Linked DNA regions of Danio rerio. The protein of the gene in region 1 interacts with the protein of each later gene in a biochemical or structural test. Links are inferred from orthologs where the notes say so. Each region holds a gene or a part of one and is shown in the gene's direction. Other genes may lie near its edges.

Region 1 (3,500 bases):
CACAGTAAGGCTGTGGAGGCGTTGAAGGAGGCAGGCTCGCTGGTCAGACTGTATGTCAGGAGGAGAAAATCTGCCTCAGAAAAAGTCATGGAGATCAAGCTCATCAAAGGACCCAAAGGTAAAGAAACTCTGGATCTTATTATGTTGGATGTTCTAGAGTGTACATGTTCATTTAAGATTATACATATCCTAATGTAAGGTCAGTTTTAATGTAATTGGTTATCTCTGAGTTTATACTTAGATACTGAAGCCCAGGCCTGAGTTCCCCATCAGAAGAGAGGAAAAAGCTGAGGTTACATTCTGGAGAAGTGTTGATTAGTTTAACGCTTTTTCCAAGCACGTTTCTGCGGTATACAGGTCTTGACTTCTCGACTCGCATCAAGTTAACTTAGGGTTGTCTAATTAAGGAAAAATGTTAAATGAATGCCTATTTGTGTGTTTAGGTTAAGATATTGATTGGTTGAAGCACAGGATGAGATCGCAAGATCTTTGTGTTTGTTTGAACCTGAAATGTTTACCATTAGGAGATGAAAGTACAGCTGGGAAAATAAGTATTGAACACATCCCTATTTTTTTCAGAAAACATATTTCTAAAGGTGCCGTTGTTTTGAAATTTTCACTGGATGTTGCTTATAAATCCAAATAAACCCATATATGCAAAGAAAACAAATCTAAATAGTTTACAAATGAAATTATGTGTAATAAAAAGAATTGATGCTTAACCCTTCTGGCTAGGCGATTAATTCTTCTGAACTGGAAGAGCCCTCACCCTCCTTCTCACTCTTTTTGGATAAGAAATGTTCTTTATTTTATGAAATTAGAAAAAATGAGGTACTCTCTTCACCAAACTAGCACTATTTTTATTAAATTGTGGGAACCCCTTCGCAAATATGTCCAAACTCTTCAGCTCTACCCTGCTCCTTCTGATTGAGTCCCCACCCCCTAATGCCCAGCTTTTACGGGAAACTATTTCTGGTCAACACATTGTAGACTTGTTTTTTATGTATATAAGTTTGCACTAGTGTTGTTGTTTTTTATTTTATTTATCTATTTATTTTTATCATCTTATTTTTATTTATTATTATTTATTTATTTTTATTATTATTATTTGCTCAAAATACTCTTCAGTGTATTTGCTTATTGTTACATGTTTATGTCTTTGTAAATTTTTGTAATGTTTCACAATGTATTAATAAAACATAAAAAAAATAGAATTGACGCAGAAAAAAAGTTTTGAACACATGAAGAAAGGGAGGTGTAGAAAGGCAGTAGTAGCCCAGACAGCGGCTCATTGTAAATGAATATCAGCTGCTTCAGTCCAACATCTACATTAGCAGGATGATGAAGATGGCACCAGGGTGGACATTTCAGCAAGACAATGATCTAAAACAGTGGTTCTCAAACTTTTTTCATCAAGTACCACCTCAGAAAAAAAGGTCTCTCCAAGTACCACCATAATGAGCAGTATTAAAATACAGTAGCGTAGTAAGCCCAGTAAAGCAGCTACAGCTCTGTACAGTTCAAAATGTGTCAGATTAATTCCTATTATTAAGAATAGTTATTATTGTCAGCCACTTTAAACATTATAAATAGTCTAAACGTTAACACTGTACTGTGTTTACAGGTAAAAAACAAACAAAAAATGTCAACATTTAAATTAAAATGTGGTTCTAAAATGGTAGGTTACTGTTCTTAAAAAGTAAAAAAGTGCTGTACTTAAATGTAAAGTATTTACATATAGTAGTCAATTCATCAACACCTGAAAATGTTGCCTGGACCTCAGAAATATAGGCTATGTATCACATGATAAATATTATTATATGTCATATTCATATATAAATCATTTTTGATACATTTTGAAATATATATATATAGCATGTACATATGACATATTTGATTCCTCCGCGTACCACTAGAAGGAAGTACAAGTACCACAGTTTGAGAACCACTGATCTAAAACACAGCCAGGGAAACTCTCAAATGCTTTCAGAGAAAGAAAATCAAGCTGTAGAATGGCCCAGCCAATCACCTGACCTGAACCCAATATAGAAAATACAAAATAAATCTCAGATTTGAAAGACAAGACCCACCGAACCCTCAGGATTTCTACACTATGTTAAAGTCTGTGAAGAACTCGCACCTGAGCAATGCATGTGACTTCATTCTCCATATGAGAGGCGTCTTGAAGTTGTCATCATTAAAGAAGCCTTTTATATAAAGCATTAAGTACGTTTCAGTAGCTCAGTACTTTATTCTTGTGTCTTTTCATTGTTATTACACAAAGGGTTTAAAGGTTTTTTAAGGTTTAAAACTAAGCTAATCCTGTATAAAGCGTTGCATGTGAAAAGAAAGAAAAGGCCTGTGAGCATCAGGCTACGGCAGCTGGATTAGTTCAAAAAGGCGCAGTACTTTTTGCGGTTGGGTCTGTTTTAGTTTGGATCATGTTCTCACCACAAACAACCGCTTCAGGGTTTGTTTGAAAGCGTACCAAGATCAAGATGTCTCGGTACGCATTTTTGTTCCACTTTTGATGCACACTCGAGTGCAATTGCTACATTCACACCTGCCCAAACGAAATGCAACAAGAGGGAAATCGAACTCAAGTGCGTTTCAGCAGAACTAAATAAGGCAGGTGTAAAAACACCCTTAGATTAACAACCAATGCATAAAATAAATGTAATTTATCACACATGTTTGTGATGCATGCAGTTGAAGTCAAAATTATTCGCCCCCCTGTTTTTTTTTCCCCCTAATTTCTGTTTAACTGAGAGAAGATTATTTTCAAACCATTTCCAATTATAATAGTTTTAATAATAATAACTGATTTATTTTATCTTCTCCATGATGACAGTAAATAATATTTGACTAGATATTTTTCAAGACACTTCTATACAGTTTAAAGTGACATTTAAAGGCTTAATAAGGTTAATTACGTTAACTAGGCAGGTTAGAGTAAGTAGGCAAGTTATTGTATATCGATGGTTTGTTCTGTAGATTATCGAAAAAAATATATAGCTTAAAGGGGCTAATAGTTTTGTCCTTAAAATGGTGTTTAAAAAATTTAAAACTGCTTTTGTTCTAGCCAAAATAAATTAAATAAGACTTTCTCCAAAAGAAAAAATATTATCAGACATACTGTAAAAATTCCCTTGCTCTATTAAACATCATTTGGGAAATATTTAAAAAAGAAAAATAAATTTCAAAGGGGGGCGAATAATTCTGACTTCAACTGTATATTGCATATACTGCTATCATGCCAATGATACTTTTACAGTATATTGTGGAGCCCTAGCAGATATACAGCTAGTTCTGTAGTCTTTGTATGTGTTTGAGCTGGGTTTGACAATGGCACACTTGGCATTGCTGGAGGATCTGGCAACAGCATGTCTGCAGAAAGTGGCACACGACTTAAGAGTATTTTGCAGAAAGCCCTTATTTGGAAACGGAGTGGGTGTGTTTTATGCAAATGACCCACATAATGCACTCGGCTGCTCATTTGT
Region 2 (3,500 bases), on another chromosome or scaffold:
GGAAGAAATACCAATGCATAGCGTATGATATTTTGCCACAGCCAGAGCCTTTTCTTTTAACCACTTTAAGTTTCAATTTATAGTCTTTTCTACTCATGCATTATCTAACAGACACCTGGTAGCAAGTAACACGAGTTAAAAACCACAATAAACCCCAACAAGATAAAGTACCTTTTATGCAAAACCATAGAACTTTATCTACAAATTAAATACAATAATGAGAACACGCAATGAACACAGATAGAAGTTCACATTAACTTTTTTTCATCTTTACTCCTTTCTGTCGATTCCCAATGCAAAGAATGACAGCATAGTAAAATTGAAAATTGAGTGTTGTAGCTTTGCAGATAATAAAAATTCAAATTTTTGTTTCCAAAACACCTGGTATTTTGTTTTAAAAGCTTTGTTCACAAAAAATTGAAAATTATATCATGAATTACTCTCAAACCACTGAGACCTTCATTCATCTATAGAACTCAAAGATATTTTAAATGAAATCTAAGAGCTTCCTTATCCTCCACAAACAGCAAAGTCCAAGAAAATACCTAAAAACTGAGCATATGCATTATATGCCTCAATCGAAATATTAGCAAGCTTTGAAAATACATTTGTACACGTATAAATTGAAAATAACAACTTTATTGAACATTTTCTTTTTCTCAGTGTCAGTATAGGGCAATTTGTTAGGTCACATCCGTGTACAGTGCCAATAAACATGCACAATATACTGACACTGAGGACAAGAATCTTTGACTAATGTTTTTTTTTTTTTTTTTTTTGTGCACAAAAGGATTCTCATAGCTTGTTAAAATTCTAGTTGAACTGCTGAAGGCATATGGTCTGTTTTGAAGAAATTTTTGGTACCTTTCTGGATTTCAAGGTTTTCTTTTTGAAAGTGGTCAATGGAGCTTGCTGTCAATGCAGGACGAGGGAGCTGTCAGATTTCATATCGTAATTTATATTCCAAAGATGATTGAATGTCTTGGGGGTAGGGTTGAAGGATAAATCAGTTGAGTAGCGATATTGCAATGCATGTATCTGCAATAGTCACATCGCAGGATTGGATTATTTAAAACAAATAAAGATATTATTAAATACTATTATTGTTAAATGGTTTATACATACCATGTTATTTTACATTAAATTGTTAAATTTTTGTACCTGAATACTGCTAGACCCCCCCACACCCCCAAAAAAGGCTCTACTTCTTTCAATATAGCTAAATTGTTCCAGCCTGGCTGCTGTCATTTCTTTGCTTAAATGCCCAAATCTGTGCAGTAGTGATCGTAAGTGGCAGGAGCACAAAACAAAAATCTCACTGAAAGCGCACAGCTAATTTGTATAGCAGCATGTAACTCAATGAATATATTAGAAAAATGAACATCTGAATGTACATAAAATGGCAAGTCCTCTCTGGGAACAAGTGATTAGAAGTGTGATTTGATTTGTTTTGAGTAGAACACTCATCCGATTCAGGACAGATATCCCGCCACCAAGGACACACAATGTTTTGACTTCACTTTTTTTAGGATGTGTGGTGCACATATGCTTTTGAATAATATAAAACAAACTTAACTTATCATATTACATTCTTTAAGGCAGGGTTGCCCAAACTTTTTTTGAGAAAGGGCCAAAAACCAAACTTGTTTGATGCTAATGGGCTGAATGTAAATAGAATCGCCTTGGGTAATTTAAAAATGTATTTAAAAGAATTAAATATTACTAGAAAACATTGCTTTATATTAAATAATACAGTATAATTTTTTTACATTTTATAATGAAGTTACTACCGTAAAAACTACTAATTTATAACAGAATTGAGTTACAGTAGTTTTTGCCTTGATTTGCTTACTGATGTCTTCGGCTTAGTCCTTATGTACATTTTAATTATTTGAGTTTAATTAGCTTTTTTGTAGCTCAGCAATAAAACAACCCTCTCCATCACTTTACCCTCTTCCAAGATGGGATGGTGAGCCAAATCAAATGTTACAATGGGCCAACTTTGGCCCGCAGGCCCTACTTTGGGCATCTCCGATTTAAGGCAAGCACTTCTTGCACATGCATGCTGTTGCAGGCATATACTCAACACATATCGGCAAGGCATATTAGCGTGATTTTTTCAAATGTACATTTTGAGACATAGTTGACCAATGCTGATGATGTTCCATTTCCTGTAATATTGTGGATCCCTAAAAGTAATGGTGTAAAATAAAATTTTGTTTAAAAGAAATTGTATTGTTACATCCATAGCTAACTTTTAAAAGCAAATCAGTTTTAATCTTCTGAAGAGACATGAAGTTATAAATTAAGGATTTTATTAACATATAACAATTGATCATCTGACATATGTTGTAAATATTGTAAACTTGACTCTCAATTGTACTTGATTGACGTGAGAATTAATGAGGCTTGGTCTCATGTCCCACTAGCACATTTGATCTTCCATATGAACCAGTAAGGTGTTAATCAGTATTTGTAAGTGAATAAAAACCTAAATGAAATCTGTCCATCAAGTCCATTTCAGGAGACTTGCTTTAAAGCACTTGATTCGGATTGATTACATTTAAGCATAACTATTTTGAAGGACTTTCAATGAAAGAACAGAAATCCAGTTCCATTAAAATACCTTCATTTGTTTTTTTTTGTTTTTTTGTTGAGCTTTTGTTGGATGAACTATTCCTTTAATTAAAATCTATAACATGCTTTTGTTCTATCTTGTTTTGCAGGTTTCTTGATTCAAAGCATAAAGATCATTACAAGATATATAACCTGTAAGTGTGTTTCAAAAACTTCAGTTCTGTGATATCGGTTTTGTAAATGGGTTTCATCAAACTGCTTTTACTGCTAGAATGTTCTGAAAGCTGCAATCATGTTCACTTGAAGATTAAGGCGGCTGTTTGATCGTTGTGAATGGAGGGCTTTGTCATTGCACATAGATCCCTTACTTAACTCCGATTGTTCTGTTGGTTTTGGCATTGGTGCAAAGTTCTAAGCAGAAAAGTATTATGTTGAACTTGTGTACTTATCTGCTTTACTTTGTGTTGTTTAGATGTGCAGAAAGACATTACGATACTGCCAAATTTAACTGCAGAGGTAAGAGGCTTGGATTGCATAAATGTCAGTTTTTGTGTGGTAACGTTGATGGTCTCTCAATGATCTCTTTATTTATCTTTTGCAGTTGCACAGTATCCATTTGAGGATCACAATCCTCCTCAGCTAGAGCTCATTAAACCTTTCTGTGAAGATTTGGATAAATGGCTCAGTGAAAATGACAATCATGTGGCTGCCATTCACTGCAAAGCTGGAAAGGGAAGAACGGGTGTCATGATTTGTGCGTACTTGTTACACCGAGGCAAATTCAAAAAAGCACAAGAGGCTCTGGACTTCTACGATGAAGTTAGGACCAGAGACAAGAAGGTGAGAAATATATATGAACATATTTCTGCTTTGCATTTTGTTTTTAAAAAAGTTGATATGCAGATTTTGTATACAAATGTGAA
Region 3 (2,883 bases), on another chromosome or scaffold:
TTTGCCTCTTCCACCTGTTTTGAGTGATCAAGTTAAGCTATCTTTCTTCAGTGAGTGATCCAAAGGCTCATTACATTGGGACGGAGCCGTGGAAGCCCAAAGAAGCTTTGGAGGATGGAGTAATCACAGATAAAGCTGATATCTTTGCCTATGGACTCACACTGTGGGAAATGATGACGCTTTCTGTTCCTCACCTGGAGATGCTGGACACTGAGGGTGATGAAGATGATGATGGTAAACTTACTGTTTCTAATCTCTCATCTAGTGCTTAGCCTCAGTATGCTTTTACTGATCTTTAACCCTTGTATATTGTTCAAATTGACTACTCTTTCGTTATGTTCGTGGCTATTTTTGCCCCATTGACTTCCATCATAATCAGATTTTTGGCATTGCAGAGCTATGATATTAGTCATCTATTCTTGATTGTTGTTGTTTATCCCTGTTGAGAAGAGGTGAAACCTTTTATTTGTATCGTTGATCATCAGTTCGTACCATTAACCTTTTTGATAGTCATGGGTAAAAAAAGGTTTCTGGCTTTTATATGTTATACGAGTTCTGTGGAGTAAAAACCACAAATTACATTGTGCATGCATAAATACACTCACAATGTTTACTTTATTCTGAGACCTGAGCTGCTTGTTTTTTTATTTTCTCAGACATATCGTGGTAAGTGGACAAAGGTCTCTCACATGCACACACGCACACACACTGTTGTGGTTTCCAGCTGTTTCAAGAATGAATCAAACTCAGTCTGGAGGTTCTGATTATCAGAAGAATCTATTTTATTGAAATATTCTCCAAAAAAGCAGACATCTATAAGCAGACCTGTCTCTAGTATCTTCCCAGGACGATCTAAATTGTCTGTTCTGTCCATTCTTTATAGTTTTATACACAGATATAACTATATGTGTGTCAGTGTTTTACAAATAACCTCCAGCAGCTTCAATTAATGGTGACCCCACATATTTCTCAGCATGACACTCATCCTGCACACTCCAGCAGTTGTCACGTTTCTTCTCAAAATTCACCACCAGCTGATGCCCTTTTCCGTCAAAATACATGTCTATATAACTATTTATATACATTTATCCAGGTTGACATGTTCACTGCACTACATACAAAAACACAAACACTATACTTTATATAATTAAGTCAGAAACTGAGCTGTTTTTGCTCTGCAACTGATGATCCACAGTAGAAATTACCAATTTTAGCTCTTCCCAACAGAAAATACCACCAACAATTAAGACTGATAATATGCTGTGATGGCTTTGCAATCAAAAAATCTGATTATAATGGAAGTCAAAGGGGCAAAAAACAATCACCAACATAACGAAAGGGTAGCTAATTTGCCCCGACTTGTTGACTTTTTGAACATTTTCAAAGCATTAGTCCCAAGATTTGTCACCAAAAGTCATTCTATTTGCTGAAACAGAGCAAGTTGTGACCAAATTAAGACTCAAAATCAGCTTAGAGTGGATGAAAACATCCCCAACAGCACACAGGGTTACATGTCTCTCTCTTCTTTTTAAATAGACGAGTCATTTGAGGAGGATTTTGATGAAGATGCATATTATGAGCGGCTGGGGTCTCGACCGGCTCTGGACGCAGTGACTCTGGGAGGCTCTTATCAGAGGATGGTGGAGCTCTTCTGTCTCTGCACAGAGGAGGACCCTCAGAAAAGACCCTCAGCAGCTCACATTGTGCAGGTGCTGGAGTCAAACAGCCAGCTTTCCAAGCAAAACACTGAGGTAATTGTAATCGATTAAATGCTCAGTTGCATTCCTGTCAACGACGAATGCTGAAAATTCTGTTTCTCCGAGTCTGAGTTGTGTGTTTGAGGAAAAGAACATCATTTTTGTTTTATTTCATGCTGTGAACTGATGACATTTAGAGGATCTTTTTACAAAAAATAATTGAAAAGGTGCCATGTTTTCATACTCTAATGGCCATTTTTAACTTCAGAATGGTTAAAAAAGCAATATATGCTGGAATAACCCTGATTTTCATTCAAATCAAGTCATAATAATTGTTATTCGGACTGTTTTTTTTTTTTTTGTGGGGGGGGGGGGGGTGGAAGGAAAAACACCTGGAAGAAATGTTATCAGATCTTTTATTGAATAAAACAAATATTAACATTTTCCTGAACCCTACTTTTACTAAGAAATTGAGAGAAACTCAGAATTTGATTTATTTTTGGTTCCCTTGCTGTATGTTTACCTCTAGGGATTTTACTGTTTGAGATCTTTGTCACGTTGTAAATATGTTTCTGTTTAAAATGAGTCATGTTGCATAAGGTCTTATGTACTCTGCTGATTTCAGACATGCTCTCGATCATACTGTAACTGCAGTCAAATTTGAAATAAACTGTCTGTGAACTTCAGCTTGCTTAAGATTGTTTAGTTGCACAGATTGCAGTTTAAATATTGATCTACTGTATGAAGACAGTAAAATATATACATTTCCTACATGTTAAGTAATATTATGTAATAAAACATTTCCAAATGTTAGCAAAGAGCAAGAAATGTACATCTAGCGGTTTCTTCGTCTTGCTGACGACTGCGCAGGCTACTTGTATTATTCACTCACAAGATGCCGCCATATAGTCAAGAACAGCGGGATGACAGGCATGCTCTACCGGTGAAGTTGCTAATACTACCATATCTAGAAATAATATACTTTGGAATGTTGTGATGTCTGACCATGAAGAATGAAGTATTCCAGACAAAGTTATACATTTACATAGACGTATATAGTAAAGATCATTCATTAACCATTTAGCATTTTGGGGATTTTCAAAAACCAATTAAAAAAACAAAGACAAAAGAAATCATCTGTAAATTATGCAAACTAATGAGAAATATTGCTGATCTGGACTATAGG
Region 4 (3,059 bases), on another chromosome or scaffold:
AGTTGCGACTTAAGCCATAGATTAGCTCAGCAACTGTCTCTGCCAGCTTATGGAATGGTTCCTTGGTTTCACTATGCCAAGATGAGAACAACACATCCCTCTTTATAAAATTTCAGCAGATGGAAAACCATCCAGTGCTGAAAAATCTATTGAAGTGTGCATTTTAAGAAGTGCAAGCACATAGTGCTTTTTGTTCCAGCTGCTTAAATGATGCAACCAGTTTTTGTCAACGAAGCTTGCATTGATCCTGCAATGGTAGTAGTTTTTCAGTCAGATCTCTAGAGAGTGCATGATCAAGGTCTCAGATCTGCTTTGCTTTGATCCCCCCCCCTCTTTCCAGGTCTGTTGAGGTTGGCTGGAGGCCCAGTCATTATGGATTTTGGGTTTGAAAATGCTCACCTCCCCCTTCCAAGGGGTTCAGGTGCGTCTGTATCTCTCACGCGAGCCCTACAGGGCCTGCCTCAACATGAAGTCATAAACAGCACTTAATGGAAGAAAGGAAAGAGAAGAGGAAGATAAAGGGGGTAGAGTGCTCATTGTTTACAAGGCCCGATCTGTAACTCACCGTGGTGGTCCATCTGACCGACATAAATACACACAAGCAATGGCTTTCAAATTTACCATTGGGAAGGCACATTTTTCTGTACGGAGAACAACAGCTCTGATTAGGAGGCCTGTTTGCTAAAGTTAGGCTGTGATATTGAGTGTGTGTGGGTCATCAGTGTGGGACAGCTGACTGGAGTCTCCTAAATTCCAGAAATGCCTTTTGAACTCTGAGTCCCCCAGGGTTGTGGTCAGAAAGGGTCTTAGTTTGTATTTGTATATTTGTATACATATATATGTACACACACGTGTATATGTTTGTGTGACCGGCTTACAGCTGTTAACTCCAAAGAATGGAGCATCCGCCTAGCTGTCTGTCACCCAGGAACCACCAATTGACCTGACCTCCAGTTGACCCCTTCACACCCGCACCAGTGGAGAGTGTATCCTGTGACTCATATGTTTGAAAGACAGCAGCTTGTGGTGTATTCTTAACATTAGCCTTCTTGTGTTGGCAGTTGTGCAGTTGGTAAAACACTAAGGGATCGCTTGTGGTCAGAGGGGGGTGATTTAGTTTTAATGTTTATCTTTATCCATGTGTCCCATAGGAACCCTGTACTAAGCGTGTGCGGCCTCTTGGCCGAGTGACCTCGCTGGCGAACCTCATCTCTCCCGTGAAGAATGGGGCCGTCCGACGCTTCGGCCAGACCCTCCAGGCCTCATTCCGGGGTGACGGGCGGTCTCCGGGCGTGCCCCAGCAGAAGCCATGCAGTAAGGCTGCAGCTCCCACACCACCGAAGCGCCGGAACAGCACGCTCTGGTCAGAGACCCTAGACGTCCACCAGAAAGGAACGTTTTCCACCAAAGAGATTAAGAGACAAGAGGTGAGTACAGCCGGAGCAAGAGAATCCAGACAGCACTGAAAAACCTAGACTATTAAATCCACTCTCCGTCCCCTGCCAGACGCTACTGAATCAGGCCTGTGTGACTTATTAAACCCAAAGGGCCTGGGGCTTGGAAAGAGCCCTGTTCCTCCTCTCTGTTTTTATTCTCTCTCACACTACCTCTCTCGTCTGGCCTTGTTTTTTTGGCGTGTGTTCTTGGCACACAGTTGAATCGAGCTGAAAAAGTGCGGCTGAATTCTGGCATCTCAGAGTCAGACATCCAGTGCTAACACAGACTGGCTGGTCTGACGCACTAAGCCCCTACCTCTCATTCATAACTACAGCTAGTAATGAGACATTTCAGCAAACTGTGAGCCCCTCAAACATTTCCCACCAAAGAGAGAAACAGACTGAATCTCAGAGCCTTGACTAAAAATATCCAAACAGTTTTCTTGGTTATGAATGTAACCATTCGTTTTCTGTCTCTCCAGGCAATTTTTGAGTTGTCTCGAGGGGAACAGGACCTGATTGAAGACCTGAAGTTAGCCCGAAAGGTTTGTACATTCTTTTTTTTTGTTAGAACATTCAAAGCAAACAGGCTTAAGCTCTTGGCTGCACTTTAGGAGTTGGACTCTTTGGCCTTCTTCCGTCCTCCATTTATAGCCAAAAGTTTCTGGCTGTAAAATTAGAAGCTGTGCTTATTATTTTTATCATTTTGTGTGTCCAGGCATACCATGACCCAATGCTGAAACTTTCTATTATGTCTGAAGAGGAGTTAACAGCCATCTTTGGAGATTTGGATGCTTACATTCCCCTTCATGAAGGTAAATAACCTACCATATTTACATGACACACCTAATTACTGCGTGAGATAACAAGTAGTGTTAACGTACTTTTTTTTTTACCCTATCAGATCTTCTTGATCAATTGGCAAAGGCCACAGGTACGGATGGCACAGTGAGACAGATCGGCAAGATTGTTGTTGACTGGGTAAGCATCTTTTCGTTGTTCATTATTATGAGGCAAATTAATTGTGGTTCATTCGGAATGTTAAAACTCTCACTTTCCACCACAGCTGCCAAGGTTAAATGCATACAGAGCATACTGTAGCAACCAACTAGCTGCCAAAGCCCTCCTCGATCAGAAGAAACAGGACCCAAGAGTTCAAGACTTCCTGCAGCGCTGCCTTGAGTCACCTTTCAGCAGGAAACTAGACTTATGGAGCTTCCTGGACATCCCTCGCTCACGTTTGGTCAAATACCCTCTTCTTCTGAAAGAGATTTTAAGACACACACCACCAGATCACCCAGACAAAGGAAGTCTTGAGCAAGCGGTAAGAGCAAGCACCGATCTAACAACTGCAGGCCTTCAGATACACTTGTTTTGGGGACATTCGGTTTTAATATTGCCTTCGTTCTTTGTCTCCAGATAAGTGTCATTCAAGCAGTGCTGGCTGACATAAACATGAAGAAAGGGGAGTCAGAATGTCAATACTATATCGATAAGCTGGAATATTTGGAAGACAAGCAGAAAGACCCACGCATTGAGCAGTGCAAGAGCTTGCTTTGCCATGGGGAACTTCGCAACAAAAGTGGCACGGTGAGTTTAACATCCATCACAGTCTAAACCGCT
Region 5 (3,967 bases), on another chromosome or scaffold:
GACATGCGGTACAGGTGAATTGGGTAGGCTAAATTGTCTGTGGTGTATGAGTGTGTGAATGTGGATGTTTCTCACAGATGGGTTGGGGGTGGAATGGCATATGCTGGATAAGTTGGCGGTTCGTTCCGCTGTGGCGACCCCAGATTAATAAAGGGACTAAGCCAAAAAAAAAATGAATGAATGAATAAACTAAATATATACAACAATCTGTCCAGGTCGCTTTCCTCAGCAGTAAATAGATAGAGATCTTTTAAACGAATGTTATTGTTAGGAATATAATTAAACCGGTAAATAGAGTTAAAATTATATTCTATAAATAAAAAGTTTTATTGAGATGATTGTTGGTGATTGTATGGGTTTTGGCCAGATTTGGTAGCTATAAATGAACAAAGGAAAATTAAGACCGGTTTAAAAAAAGATTTAAGACCTAAAACACAATATTTCAGTTATTTTAAGACTTTTACGGCATAACATTTAAATTTTGAGATTAAAGACATTTAAAAACCAAGCAGAAACCCTGTTTAAAGCACTTTATCTTAAGTGAAAAGCCAATAAAAACACAATACAGGTGACATATTGAGGTATGGTTGGTTTTGTATTTCCACATTCGTTCAGTGACAACTTATATATTAAACGTACTTGTTTACCACGTTACTTTGAATATTGGGTCTGAATTCGCATGCAAAGTGACATTAAAATCACACTAGCATGGTGTACTTTCCTAGTCATTGGCTGCTAATGTGATTTATTTATAATACTAAATATTGTGTAAATATAATAACTTCATCTAAATACGTCAAGTTTTACTGAAATAACATAGCTGTCAAAGTTTAATTAGCTTAAATAAAACATTACAAACCAAACAACGTGTGACTAAACAAAGTCTGCGTTAATAGTAACGTTAGCTGTAAAACATCTAAGTACTTTTTAAACGCATTAATGAGTGCATGTGTAAACAAAGACGCGTTATTATTATTCAGCTGTTAGTTAGCTAACAAGCTAACTATCGTTTATTTTCATAACACCTCCACTGCTTGCAGAGACGAAAACAGTCCTCGAGTCTGCACGAAGCTCAAGCTAACATGTCAGATAACACCACCCGAATGTATACGAAAGTTGTTAAATTAACTAAACACAACTAAAGGTGTTTGAATGGGTAAAGCTGCTAGCTGATGTTAGCCGAGTGAGAATGACGTCACGGAGAAGTGTCAATCCGTCTCACGTCGAGTTTTACAAATAAAACTCTGAATGTTTACCTCGTGTTAAATGAATCGTCAAGGTCTTCATTCCTGTGGCAGATTAGGATGGAGATGGTGGAGTAAAGCGTCAATTCTGCATGTCTGCGAGTTGAGGTGGATGTTCAGTCCTCTCTCAGCTGGCAGTGTCTCATATGGGTGGATTTGAGCGACACAGGATTTCAAACTTCCCTTACAAGACATGGTGACTACAGCAAAACCACATATTAACTGCTAATATCGGTAACGTTATACTGTAAATACATGATACACTGGTTAATCCTTCACTTTAACCCTTACTTTTTGAACAGACATAAAAAATTACATGTTCAATAAAATTGTTTATTTACTGGAAAAAACAGCTTAAACCAGCCTAGACTTTTGCCACTTCCAGGCTGGTTTCCAGCCATTTCCAGCCTGGTCTTAGCTAGTCAGGCTGGGAGGTGACCAGCTAAAACCAGCTTATCCAGCCAAAACCAGCTATGTCCAACTTAAACCAGGCTGGTCAAGCTGGTTTTAGCTGGTTAAGGCTGGTCATTTTCCAGCCTGACCAACTAAGACCAGGCTGGAAATGGCTGGTAACCAGCCTGAAAGGGGCCAAAACCCCTCTAAAACCAGCCTGGTTGACCAGCTAAAACCAGCCTAACAGCACGTAGGGCTGAAGCTGACACTAGTGGATGCTCTGGAACTCTGGGGCTGAAGTCAACACTATGGGGCACCCTTGGTCTGAAACCAACATCGGGGGGGGGGGGGCTCTGGGCCTGAAGTGGATACTCAGGGGCCCTTTGAGGCTGAAGGCAACACTGGAGGGCACTCTGGGGCTGAAGCCAACACTGGGGGGCACTCTGGAACCAAAGCAGACACTGCATGAACTCTGAGGCTAAAGTCAACACTGGGGGGCACTCTGGAGCTAAAGCCAATAATGAGGGCTCTCTGAGGCTGAAGCCAACAATGAGGGCACTCTGGAGCTGAAGCCAACACTGGGGGCACTCTGGAGCTGAAGCCAACACCCTGGGGCACTCTGGGGCTGAAGCCAACACTGAAAGCACTCTGGAGCTAAAGTCAACACTTTGGGGCACTCTGGGGCTGAAGCCAACACTTAGGGCACTCTGGGACTGATGCCAACATTGAGGGCACTCTGGGGTTGAGGCCGACACTGAGGGCACTCTGATGGCTGAAGTCAACTCTGAGGGCACTCTGGGGCTGAAGCCAACACTAAGGGCACTCTGGGGCTAAAGCCAACACTGGGGAGCACTCTGGGGCTGAAGCCAACACTGAGGGCGCTCTGGGGTTGAAGCAGACACTGGGGAGCACTCTTGGGCTGAAGCCAAAACCGAGGGCACTCTGGAGCTGAGGTCAACACTGTGAGGCACTCTGGGGCTGAAGCCAGCACTAAGAGCACTCTGAGGCTGAAGCAGACACTGGGGGCACTCTGGGTTGAAGCCGACACTGAGGGTACTCAGGGACTGAAGCCAACACTGGTGGCACTCTGGGGCTAAAGCCAACACTGAGGGCACTCTGGGGCTAAAGCCAACACTGAGGGCACTCTGGGGCTGAAGCAGACACTGGGGGCACTCTGGGTTAAAGCCGACACTAAGGGCACTCAGGGACTGAAGCCAACACTGGTGGCACTCTGGGGCTAAAGCCAACACTGAGGGCACTCTGGGGCTAAAGCCAACACTGAGGGCACTCTGGGGCTAAAGCCAACACTGAGGGCACTCTGGGGCTGAAGCAGACACTGGGGGCACTCTGGGTTAAAGCCGACACTAAGGGCACTCAGAGACTGAAGCCAACACTAGTGGCACTCTGGGGCTAAAGCCAACACTGAGGGCACTCTGGGGCTAAAGCCAACACTGAGGGCACTCTGGGGCTAAAGCCAACACTGAGGGCACTCTGGGGCTGAAGCGGACACTGGGGGCACTCTGGGTTAAAGCCGACACTGAGGGCACTCAGGGACTGAAGCCAACACTGGTGGCACTCTGGGGCTAAAGCCAACACTGAGGGCACTCTGGGGCTAAAGCCAACACTGAGGGCACTCTGGGGCTAAAGCCAACACTGAGGGCACTCTGGGGCTGAAGCAGACACTGAGGGCACTCTGGGGCTAAAGCCAACACTGAGGGCACTCTGGGGCTGAAGCAGACACTGGGGGCACTCTGGGTTAAAGCCGATACTGAGGGCACTCAGGGACTGAAGCCAACCTCGGCGGGCACTCTAGGACTGACGTCGACATTGAGGGCACTCTGGGGTTGACGCAGACACTGGGGGGAACTCTTGAGCTGAAGCTGAAACTAGTTGCACTATAGGGCTATAGCCAACAACAGAGGGCCCTTCGGTACTGAAGGGTACACTGGGGGAGCGAGTGGTCACTGCTGACATTCTCAGGAGGCAGGTGCATAGTGAATCTGCCAGTATGTAAGGTGAAAAGCACACTGGCAGAACTCCACCATACATTTGACATCAGGTCAAATGTACCTCAAAATACTTTCATCTCCCACTGTGGTATACACTTGAGCCGAGCACTGCATTAAAGACTGGAGAATTAACAAGACCAAAACAAAAGAGTCCCGACAATCAGACCATCATACATTAAAACAATCACCATTTTCCTGAATCCCACACCTAGTACATCCAGAGAAACCGAGAATTTTCAAGTGGTTGATTTTTTTTGTTTCTCTCATAAAAGAAAACAACCTTCTTCAAATGAAACAACACATTCTTTATGAAAGATCAGT
Region 6 (4,069 bases), on another chromosome or scaffold:
AGAATCAGTGGGATATAATGCAGGTTGTTGGTTAACAAATAGTTTGCATTGCAATAAGAAGCCTTTGCAGCGAGAAGGTGACCCATCAAACTTTTCAGGAAAAGCTAATCGGGGACTTACGGTAGCCGGAGCATTGGAGACATGCGTTGGTTGAGAAGCTGTCATGGTAGCAGGCGGGGTAACTGCAGGATTCGGATGACGGAGTTGCTGCATAGCTCTCACCAGTTCCTCCGTGAGAGAAGTTAGATGGGTGAGTTGTTGATGATGGGTGGCTAACTGAGTGGCTTGAGCGGAAAGTTCAGTCGAGACTTGTGCTAAAGCTGCTGGATTCTGTAGTGGCGAAGTCTTCTGTTGTGCTGAGTCAGAAGGCATTGAATCCATTTGCAAGCTTTATTAAGAGCACACATACAAACAAACACAAAGGGGCAATCCAGGAGACAGAACGTGGGACAGGCAAAAGTTCAAAGGCAGGCAGATATCTTACTGGTCAGAATAACAGGCTGGAGATCAGGGGCAGGCAGATGTCTTTCGTAATCGTAGAACAAGCACAGGGTCAGAAACACAGATCAGTCCGAAGCAGGGAGTATGGAACGCTCAGAAATGACAGCCAGGCAAATCAAGACTTCGCAACGAACCGGAGTGTGAGTGTGGTATATATACACGAAAGCTGATGAGTTGCACCTGGACCGTAATCAGTGCCAGGTAGCAGGGCTTATGGGATTTTGAGTCCGTGAGTCGAATCAGAATTCTGGCGATGGTTCCATCTGGTGGTGCACAAGAGGGTTGGCATCGCCCTCATTTACAACACCAGGCAATGGCAAATCTAGTTCTCAACTCTATAACCAAATGAAATCAGTTCACATTTATGTAGAGCTTTCCAAATAGATAATATTTGCAAGCTTGACTGCTAGGTTGCTTCATTTGTGTGCACAGCAAAAGTAACAAGCAATTATGTAAACAGTCACTTGCCAAGTATTACATTTATGTCATCTAGTTAAACAGACAGTGTTTACCTAAAGTATGTCAAGTCAATAAGATACTTATGAGTTCTTTGCTAATGTCAAGCATTGCTAATACGAGTTGTCTACAGTTTGTCTGCTGCTGTTTGATATAATACAGTATGTGTGTGCAGTAGCTTTGTATTTCCTCTGCATGTGTTCATCTGCTTTGCTTTATTCTAAGGCTTACAGACATTAGCTATGACAAAAAAGACTGAGCGAGAGAGAGAGAGAGAGAGCGAGAGAAAGCTGTGCTTGGATTAGGGTCGTCACAGCTCACTGCATCTAACCCAGTTTACACCAGATGCTCCAGCCAGGACATGTGTGAGACGTGGATAGAGGAAACCAGAGGAGGATGATGATGATAATGAGCAATGATGATAATGATGATGATGGCCATCCTGTCGTTAGTTTGAATGTGTTTCCCTGCTCTGTTCAGCATGGCGAGTGCGTTTTCCTCACCTCCGTCGCTATGTGTGTCTCTGTCGTGCAGTGAGCGCAGCAGCAGGGATCGACACAAGCCTCACAGCCGCGACAGCAGCAGCCGCTCAGACAAGAATGTGACGATCAGTGCGACGTCTGTGCAGCCGCAGCAGCCAGATCAGAGCTCCGCCCCCACAGACGCCCAGGTGAGTCACACATACACACACACACACACACACACACACATACACACACAGCATATTTGATGATTCAGTGCCATTGTGGCTTTGATGGAGACGCCTTGAGTTACTCCTGGGGAAATGAACCGGTACGTTGGTTGAATAATCCAGCGTTTCGACATTGTTCTGGCTGAGAAGGGTTAGAATATGAAGCAACAGGGGGGCTGGGATCGTGACAGAGGGATTTTCAAGGAAAAGGAGCATTAAACAAATATTCTGGGAAATCAAAGCATGTTTATTTGTGTGTGTGTAAGCATTAACCAGTCTTCAGATTTAGAGAAATGAATATTATTTGAAATATGACTATAGAATAGAATAGAATATTTATTACACTATCATTCCAATAAATGTGCACTTCTGTGGTTTAAATAAAAACATTGAGAGTGACAATAAAGATATTAATATTATTCAGAATTTCAAAATAAAAGGAAAGTAATCCCAGCTCAAAATAGCAATTTAGACTTTTACATCTAGGCTAAAAAAATATGGTTTACTAACCTTTAAACATTTTGGACTTTTATGTTTTTAGTATAAAAATTAGAGCTGCGTGATATTGAAAAAATCTGAAATTGTAATTTTTTTTTTACGATATATATTGAATTAATACAATTTAGCAGATGGCTTGAATAGCTCTGTTTTGTATGGATTTAGATTGATTGAAATCGTTTTGTTGCAGTACGGTGAATCCAACAAATTGCAAGCATAAATAAGGTAGAGCATTGTTAAAAGTGAAAAAAGAAGTGTTTTCTGGAGTCTAACAATATTCAGATATTCAGTAATTGAATAATCAAATGTAGTATAAAGTAACACTGTACAGTCTTCATTGCCTGTAAATAGGCCTGCACGGAATCTGCACGTGCAGAAGTCTGCAGATTTTGAGCCCATCCTTGAGTCTGTTCATTTAATTGTGTAAGTGCGTGAAAATTTATGTGTTGTTTTTAAATTAATTTCAGTAATATTACTGACTAGTATGAAAGTGTTTTTTGATTTATTTACAAAACAGTTTGTAATGTAATATTTTCTGTATTTTAGTAGAGATATTATATGAGATACTTGCTTTATTTACCAAATAAGTGGATCTAGATGGATTTGCGTTGTAAATATTAAATAAAAGTAAAAAAAAAAAACATTATTTTTTATTTTATTTATTAAGTTTTTAGTCATGATACTCCCAAAATAATTCGGCATAAATCTGCAGATTACTTACCAAAAATGTCTGCAGATTCTGTCTGGCTGTACTCATAAGCTTTAATCCCAACTCAATATTGCAGATATTGCGATGTGACTATTGGGAAGGCACACATTGCGATATCAATGCTAAAACGATATATTGTGCAGCCCGAATAAAAATGACAGAGTTTTTTTTTTTGTGATACAAAAGCTTTCTAAATTAAATAAATTGTGCTTTCAGCATTTTTAATGACAACACCTTTTCTTAAACATTAAATTAGCCAGTTAGAATGTTCCTGAAGGATCATGTGACCCTGAAAAAAAGTACAGTTTATTGATTATTACACTGTTCTCCGAGAAATGGAACTTACATAATGTGAAACTACAATTAAATCAAGCACGCTGCTACTAAAACTTGTTTTTACTATTTAAATATACAGTACTGATAATGCCATTATTAATGCAGGTGTTAAAAGCATAAAAAAACGATGTTCTTGCTGGCAGTTTTTTCACAAGCTGGACTTTAAAAATAAAAACTATTCTTATTGTAAAATTGTAAACTTTTTTGTATTTTTTTGATCAAATAAATGCAGCTTCAGTAAAAAGAAAGGATCCTTTCCAGAAAGACCAGGGAGATGAAAATGATATTGAATTACATTTATTTGATGGTTAACATTTGACTTGAATTGAAAGTTTGTAAATTCAGCTATGGCTGCCGAGGATGAAGGCAGGGGCGGAGCTTACCCTTCCAAGACAGGGCCAACCTGGTGGTGTTGGGGAGGATGGTGGATGAACGTCCACATCAGTATCTACAACCAAACGAAGGAAATGAATAGACAGCTTATATATTTCCTTGAGTCTAGTGGCTATTGGTTGGAACTAGAGATCTGTATGGGAACCGAATTTTGTATTCTGCTGCCGCCAGGTTTTACTCCGCGCCTGACCGCTCCCGCTGTATATTCAGCCAATGTTCACCCGCTGCCCACCCTGCCCCTTTTTTCCCCGACCAGACCGTTCCTGCTAAATTTAAATCTGGTTTTCAAAATCTCACTTTAAAATACTAAAAGAGAGAGATAACCGATAAAATGTCAGTTTTGTTTGCCCCTTTGTGATGAGACATGAGTGCCGCCTTAAACAGTGATGTGCGGTTAGGTTTGTGGCTGGTGAGTCACTGACTCTTTCACAGTCAGATTAACAAACATGTCCACTTGATATTTTTGTCATCTACCGATTGTGTTT
Region 7 (4,300 bases), on another chromosome or scaffold:
AACTGTGGAGTTACTGACAGTCCTACTCAATCATTATACCACCCTTGACTTGGGCATTTAGCTTTCAGACTCTGTAATTAGTCTACAGTGAGTCACATGGATGTTCAACATCTGCTAAGCACCAGATGTGGACTTGCTACAGCTGGAAAGGATGAACTTCCCTTATATAAATGACCTTTTTTTATTTATTTATGGAATTTATTTGGAATCTATATCTTATCATATGAGTGTCAAGCCGCTTTAACATTTCATAAAAAAAATATGCTAGTGTCTTTGTCATACTGTTAATTTTCTATATGATAGAAAAAATTGACAATGCAGGCGGTTTTCATCACTGCTAGTTCTTTGGCTTGGTGTGTCCTGGGCTTAATAAATAAGTAGGCTACTAGTGTTTATTTAATAGGTACTAGTATCTAATAATTTAATACTGTTATCTAATTCTTCCCAGTGATGGGTTGCAGCTGGAAGGGCATCCGCTGCGTAAAACATATGCTGGATAAGTTTGGTGGTTCATTCCACTGTGGCGACCCGAGATTAATAAAGCGACTAAGCCAAAAAGAAAATGAATGAATGAATGTTCTCTAACTCGTAGCATGAAAAATACATGTAGGACCTATGCATGTACTATACTAGTAAGATTATATCCTAATTGTTAACACAGCTTGCCATAACGTGTTCATTTTTTGTGTGAATCCAACTGGATTTGGAAAGAAAGGTACAAACAGTGGGCAGAGACGCCTGAAATTACTAATAGTCCCACAGGTTCTCACAACAGCTCTGAATGCTGGACTTTGAATAGCTTCTAATAGGTCCAAGGCTCGGTATGTTTGACTAGTTGGCAAAACATGAGAGGCTTTCCTTGAAGCTAAAAGATGAGGTGCAAAATCCTGATGACTAAAGCAGAGGGTGTCCAGAGTATATCCAGCACCTTTTTAACTATTACGTGATGTGAGGGGTAGCCTATTTCCAGGAATATCCTAATTTTCTCTGTTTTCCTAATTGTTTATTTACAAATAAACCTTTATGTGATAAAAAGAAAACTATTTGTACTCCAAAATGTTCCCATGAAGGAAGCCCAGAGGGAGATGCCCTTTATCCACACGATGGCAATGTTGCCTAATATACGCGTCGAAAGACCCCCTTTGGAAAATCGTATTTTTATTGTCGTACAAAATATTTATGATGCGCCGGCGAGTCTTCCCCAAAGTTGTGTGGACTTTGTGTAACCCCAATCCTCTTAAATCCGACCAATAGAAGACTAAACGCATACATCAACCAATTCAAAGTAACGAATTTGTGGGCGTTTATGCGCACTACGAGCAGATGGTCACTCATGTGACCATTTAAGGGGTTGTTGTTTTCGCGGTGTAAACGTATTTTCCACGGAATTCGACGGGAACTCCGTTTTTTCCGAATGAACTCCCGTTCGACTACATGGCAACACATTTAAATGCCCTGAAACGGCATCTCTCTATGTGGAGCGTCTACGTCACGCGCTCTGACCCTCTTGCCCATGGAAGCGCGCGAGACCAAGCCGGAGCCGCCCGTTCATCGCCTGAAAACACCTTTGGAAAGAATGTCATCCCGGGTTTCTCTTACCAATGGATTTAATCGTCTCCACGACTAATTCGCATTTCGGCGTTTTTGCGGTAAGTCCTGGTGAATTCGCGTCGCTCCAACGGAGCGTTTCTAACATCTGGCGCGCGCTGGCGGCGGGAATTCATCGCTGCTTGTCATTTATCGGTAGATCTCGCCGTCAGTCCTTTTCAAATCTGAGCTGTAATAGACGCTGTGTTCACCGCACAAGCGGAGAAACTGTTTGCTTTCCCGTCGAAGCTCATTTCATTTGCCTTCCTTCCTTCCTTCCTTCCTTCCTTCCTTCCTTCCTTGCAGCGATGGACTGTGCAGAAAATATGCAATAGTACAATAGTTATGCTTACATAATTGATAACTGGTGGCCTTGTTCAATGCATGATGCTGAATAACTTGAGCAGGTGTACCTATAATGGACATTCCTACACCTCCCATCATCATCATCATCATCTCTGGTCCATCATCTGTCCCTGCATGGCGCATTTACTCCATCTGGTCATCATCTCCTAACCTGGGCAGTGCATTGCACGTTACATTAGTTAGTTGCATTCATTTCCATCCTTGTGACATGTGCTACAGCCCAGTATCCCACAGCATTCACTGTGAGGTAGGCTGGTCTCCATTATAACCGCTAGATGCTGTCACCGGGACCACCTCTTAGACACTTTTCTTTATGCATAATTAAGCAACATCTCTCTCAGAATAACTCCTGCTCTTGATCATTCAAGCCCAGCTTCTATCTCCAGCAGAAGCAGTCTGTCTCTGTTTGGACTGTAATGGGAGTGTGGTTGCAGTTTCAGCTGCCTCATCATATTGACCAGAGTTTAGATTGAATGCAGGTTTGCTGCTGTGCACCATGTAATTGCTGCTGTGCGGTGATTTGCTTTGAGCAGTCCACAATTACAGTATGTAAAGATTGCAGGGACAATGCATCATGATGCAGTAAGACGTGTTCCTCAGAGATTCGGCTGTCTTTACACTGCATTGGCATGTTATGTGCTTTTTCGGGGAGTTTGGGGTGTGCGCTTAAAATGGCCAAGGCCGACTTTTGGTATCCGCTGGAAGCGATAGAATGATCTCTCTGACAGACCTGTGCATGTGGTGGTGCGCAGCAATGTCAGATGACTCCAATAAGTTACAATTTATTACTGTTTCTCGCTCATCATGGTAAATAGCATGGCTTGCTGCTGGTTTTTTCGCCTCTAGTCTCTCCTCTATATAAACCCTGGGCTCTGACTGACAGGAGACTCTCGGTAAATCCGGTGTGGAGGTGGGTGGGGATTTTAAAGACTTCTAAAGTGGATTTCGGATTTTATTCTTGTAAATGCCAGCACAGTGGGGCCCTGCCATTTATGAAGTTTTTAAGCTTTAAATCTTTGGATTATGTATGGATGTTTTGCACATTAGTGATGGCAAGACTGATTCACTTTTGTGAACTGGTTTTCTTGGGCAGTTCATCTGAATGAAAAGTGCAATCGTGCAGTGTCATCACTCATATGTATTCCACTAAGTCCAATGAGGACTGCACTGACAAAATGTTAGGTGGAATTATGGACTAAGCTAACAGTTTTATGCTTACTAAATACAACAAACTAGTGATAAACTATATAAAATCAATATAAAACAACAAACTTGTCATGAACGATAGCTTTACAACATAAATCTGCATGTTTTAATAAATTGTTAATTAAAATGTATCTCAGTGTGTGATGTTTAAAAGATAATGAAGATTACTTTGTCACTTCGTTTTGAAATGAATCGTCTGCTTCGAATGAATTGTTTGAATTAGTCATTCAGTAGTCTTGTGTAGCCAGACCTCAGACTGATGGCTGGGAGCTTTGGCCACTTTGAATGGTCAATGAATGCCCATGATGCTATAAGACTGACATGTTAACAAACCAATCACGTTTCATTTAGTGCCGCATCATGTTTAGGGGTGTGGAAATGTCTGCACATTAACAGCTTGGCACGCAACCGGTGCATCATTCTTTCATGTGCATCTTTAAAGGACAACAACAAATGTTTAGACTATTTTCGAATATTCATTCATTGTTTTGGTGAGGAATCAATCACTAATAAAAAGTCTAAACCTGCATCGAAAACACGCTAAAAATATTGTTTAAAGGGCACCTAGTTTACCCCTTTTTCAATACTTAATATTAATATTATGGTTCTTCTGAGTGTGCCAGTTTAGGTTCAGTTCAAAACACAATTCAGATCTTTTTATTAGAATGTGTTAAAAAGTGTTATTTTGGGGGGGCGTGTACACAGGTTGTTGATTTAGGGGTGTGTTGCTTTACATGAAGATTGTTCTGCGTCCCAATCGGCATACTATGCGTCCTAAATAGTATTTGAAAATAGAATGAGTATGTCCCAAACCACAGTATGTTGAAAAGAGTATGCCAGAGATTCCCGGATGGTTTGCTATTTCCGGGTAAATATTTAAGTGTAGAACCGTCTGTACCAGGGGTGGCCAATCCTGTTCCTGGAGAGCTACCTTCCTGCAGATTTCAGTTGCAACCCATAATCAACACACCTGCCTGTAATTATCAGGTGGTGTTCAGGTCCTAATTAATTGGTTCAGGTGTGTTTGATATGGGTAGCAACTGAAATCTGCAGGAAGGTAGCTCTCCAGGAACAGGATTGGCCACCCCTGGACTCTTAACACTCTAACCGCTGAAATTGCCCACCATAGATATATACACTA

The links.
Region 2: the proteins of dlg1b (region 1) and ptenb form a complex in vitro, tested with the Homo sapiens proteins (2 studies listed by BioGRID and IntAct, with this or other methods). The link is inferred for Danio rerio from reciprocal best matches to the Homo sapiens genes DLG1 and PTEN.
Region 3: the proteins of dlg1b (region 1) and pbk form a complex in vitro, tested with the Homo sapiens proteins (2 studies listed by BioGRID and IntAct, with this or other methods). The link is inferred for Danio rerio from reciprocal best matches to the Homo sapiens genes DLG1 and PBK.
Region 4: the proteins of dlg1b (region 1) and net1 form a complex in vitro, tested with the Homo sapiens proteins (3 studies listed by BioGRID and IntAct, with this or other methods). The link is inferred for Danio rerio from reciprocal best matches to the Homo sapiens genes DLG1 and NET1.
Region 5: the proteins of dlg1b (region 1) and cysltr2b interact in a test that uses a peptide from one of them, tested with the Homo sapiens proteins (2 studies listed by IntAct, with this or other methods). The link is inferred for Danio rerio from reciprocal best matches to the Homo sapiens genes DLG1 and CYSLTR2.
Region 6: the proteins of dlg1b (region 1) and vangl1 interact in a test that uses a peptide from one of them, tested with the Homo sapiens proteins (2 studies listed by IntAct, with this or other methods). The link is inferred for Danio rerio from reciprocal best matches to the Homo sapiens genes DLG1 and VANGL1.
Region 7: the proteins of dlg1b (region 1) and pkp4 interact in a test that uses a peptide from one of them, tested with the Homo sapiens proteins (2 studies listed by IntAct, with this or other methods). The link is inferred for Danio rerio from reciprocal best matches to the Homo sapiens genes DLG1 and PKP4.

What each region holds. Positions count from the first base shown.
Region 1 is NC_133177.1:5,236,410-5,239,909, reverse strand, and holds part of dlg1b (discs large homolog 1-like protein), read left to right. Parts: coding exon 1-118; intron 119-3,500. UniProt on the Homo sapiens protein: Essential multidomain scaffolding protein required for normal development. Recruits channels, receptors and signaling molecules to discrete plasma membrane domains in polarized cells.
Region 2 is NC_133187.1:19,011,133-19,014,632, reverse strand, and holds part of ptenb (phosphatidylinositol 3,4,5-trisphosphate 3-phosphatase and dual-specificity protein phosphatase PTEN), read left to right. Parts: intron 1-2,726; coding exon 2,727-2,771; intron 2,772-3,049; coding exon 3,050-3,093; intron 3,094-3,178; coding exon 3,179-3,417; intron 3,418-3,500. UniProt on the Homo sapiens protein: Dual-specificity protein phosphatase, dephosphorylating tyrosine-, serine- and threonine-phosphorylated proteins.
Region 3 is NC_133195.1:42,642,316-42,645,198, reverse strand, and holds the end of pbk (lymphokine-activated killer T-cell-originated protein kinase homolog), read left to right. Parts: intron 1-51; coding exon 52-234; intron 235-1,536; coding exon 1,537-1,769; 3' UTR 1,770-2,383; downstream 2,384-2,883. UniProt on the Homo sapiens protein: Phosphorylates MAP kinase p38. Seems to be active only in mitosis. May also play a role in the activation of lymphoid cells.
Region 4 is NC_133179.1:12,146,762-12,149,820, reverse strand, and holds part of net1 (neuroepithelial cell-transforming gene 1 protein), read left to right. Parts: intron 1-1,151; coding exon 1,152-1,427; intron 1,428-1,918; coding exon 1,919-1,981; intron 1,982-2,154; coding exon 2,155-2,251; intron 2,252-2,340; coding exon 2,341-2,417; intron 2,418-2,502; coding exon 2,503-2,760; intron 2,761-2,855; coding exon 2,856-3,026; exon of another isoform or gene 3,027-3,059. UniProt on the Homo sapiens protein: Acts as a guanine nucleotide exchange factor (GEF) for RhoA GTPase. May be involved in activation of the SAPK/JNK pathway Stimulates genotoxic stress-induced RHOB activity in breast cancer cells leading to their cell death.
Region 5 is NC_133190.1:3,203,655-3,207,621, reverse strand, and holds the start of cysltr2b (cysteinyl leukotriene receptor 2), read left to right. Parts: upstream 1-1,167; 5' UTR 1,168-1,440; intron 1,441-3,967. UniProt on the Homo sapiens protein: Receptor for cysteinyl leukotrienes. The response is mediated via a G-protein that activates a phosphatidylinositol-calcium second messenger system.
Region 6 is NC_133184.1:34,712,173-34,716,241, forward strand, and holds the start of vangl1 (vang-like protein 1), read left to right. Parts: upstream 1-1,269; 5' UTR 1,270-1,414; coding exon 1,415-1,627; intron 1,628-4,069.
Region 7 is NC_133181.1:13,256,592-13,260,891, reverse strand, and holds the start of pkp4 (plakophilin-4), read left to right. Parts: upstream 1-1,500; 5' UTR 1,501-1,649; exon of another isoform or gene 1,650-1,900; intron 1,901-2,000; exon of another isoform or gene 2,001-2,809; intron 2,810-4,300. UniProt on the Homo sapiens protein: Plays a role as a regulator of Rho activity during cytokinesis. May play a role in junctional plaques.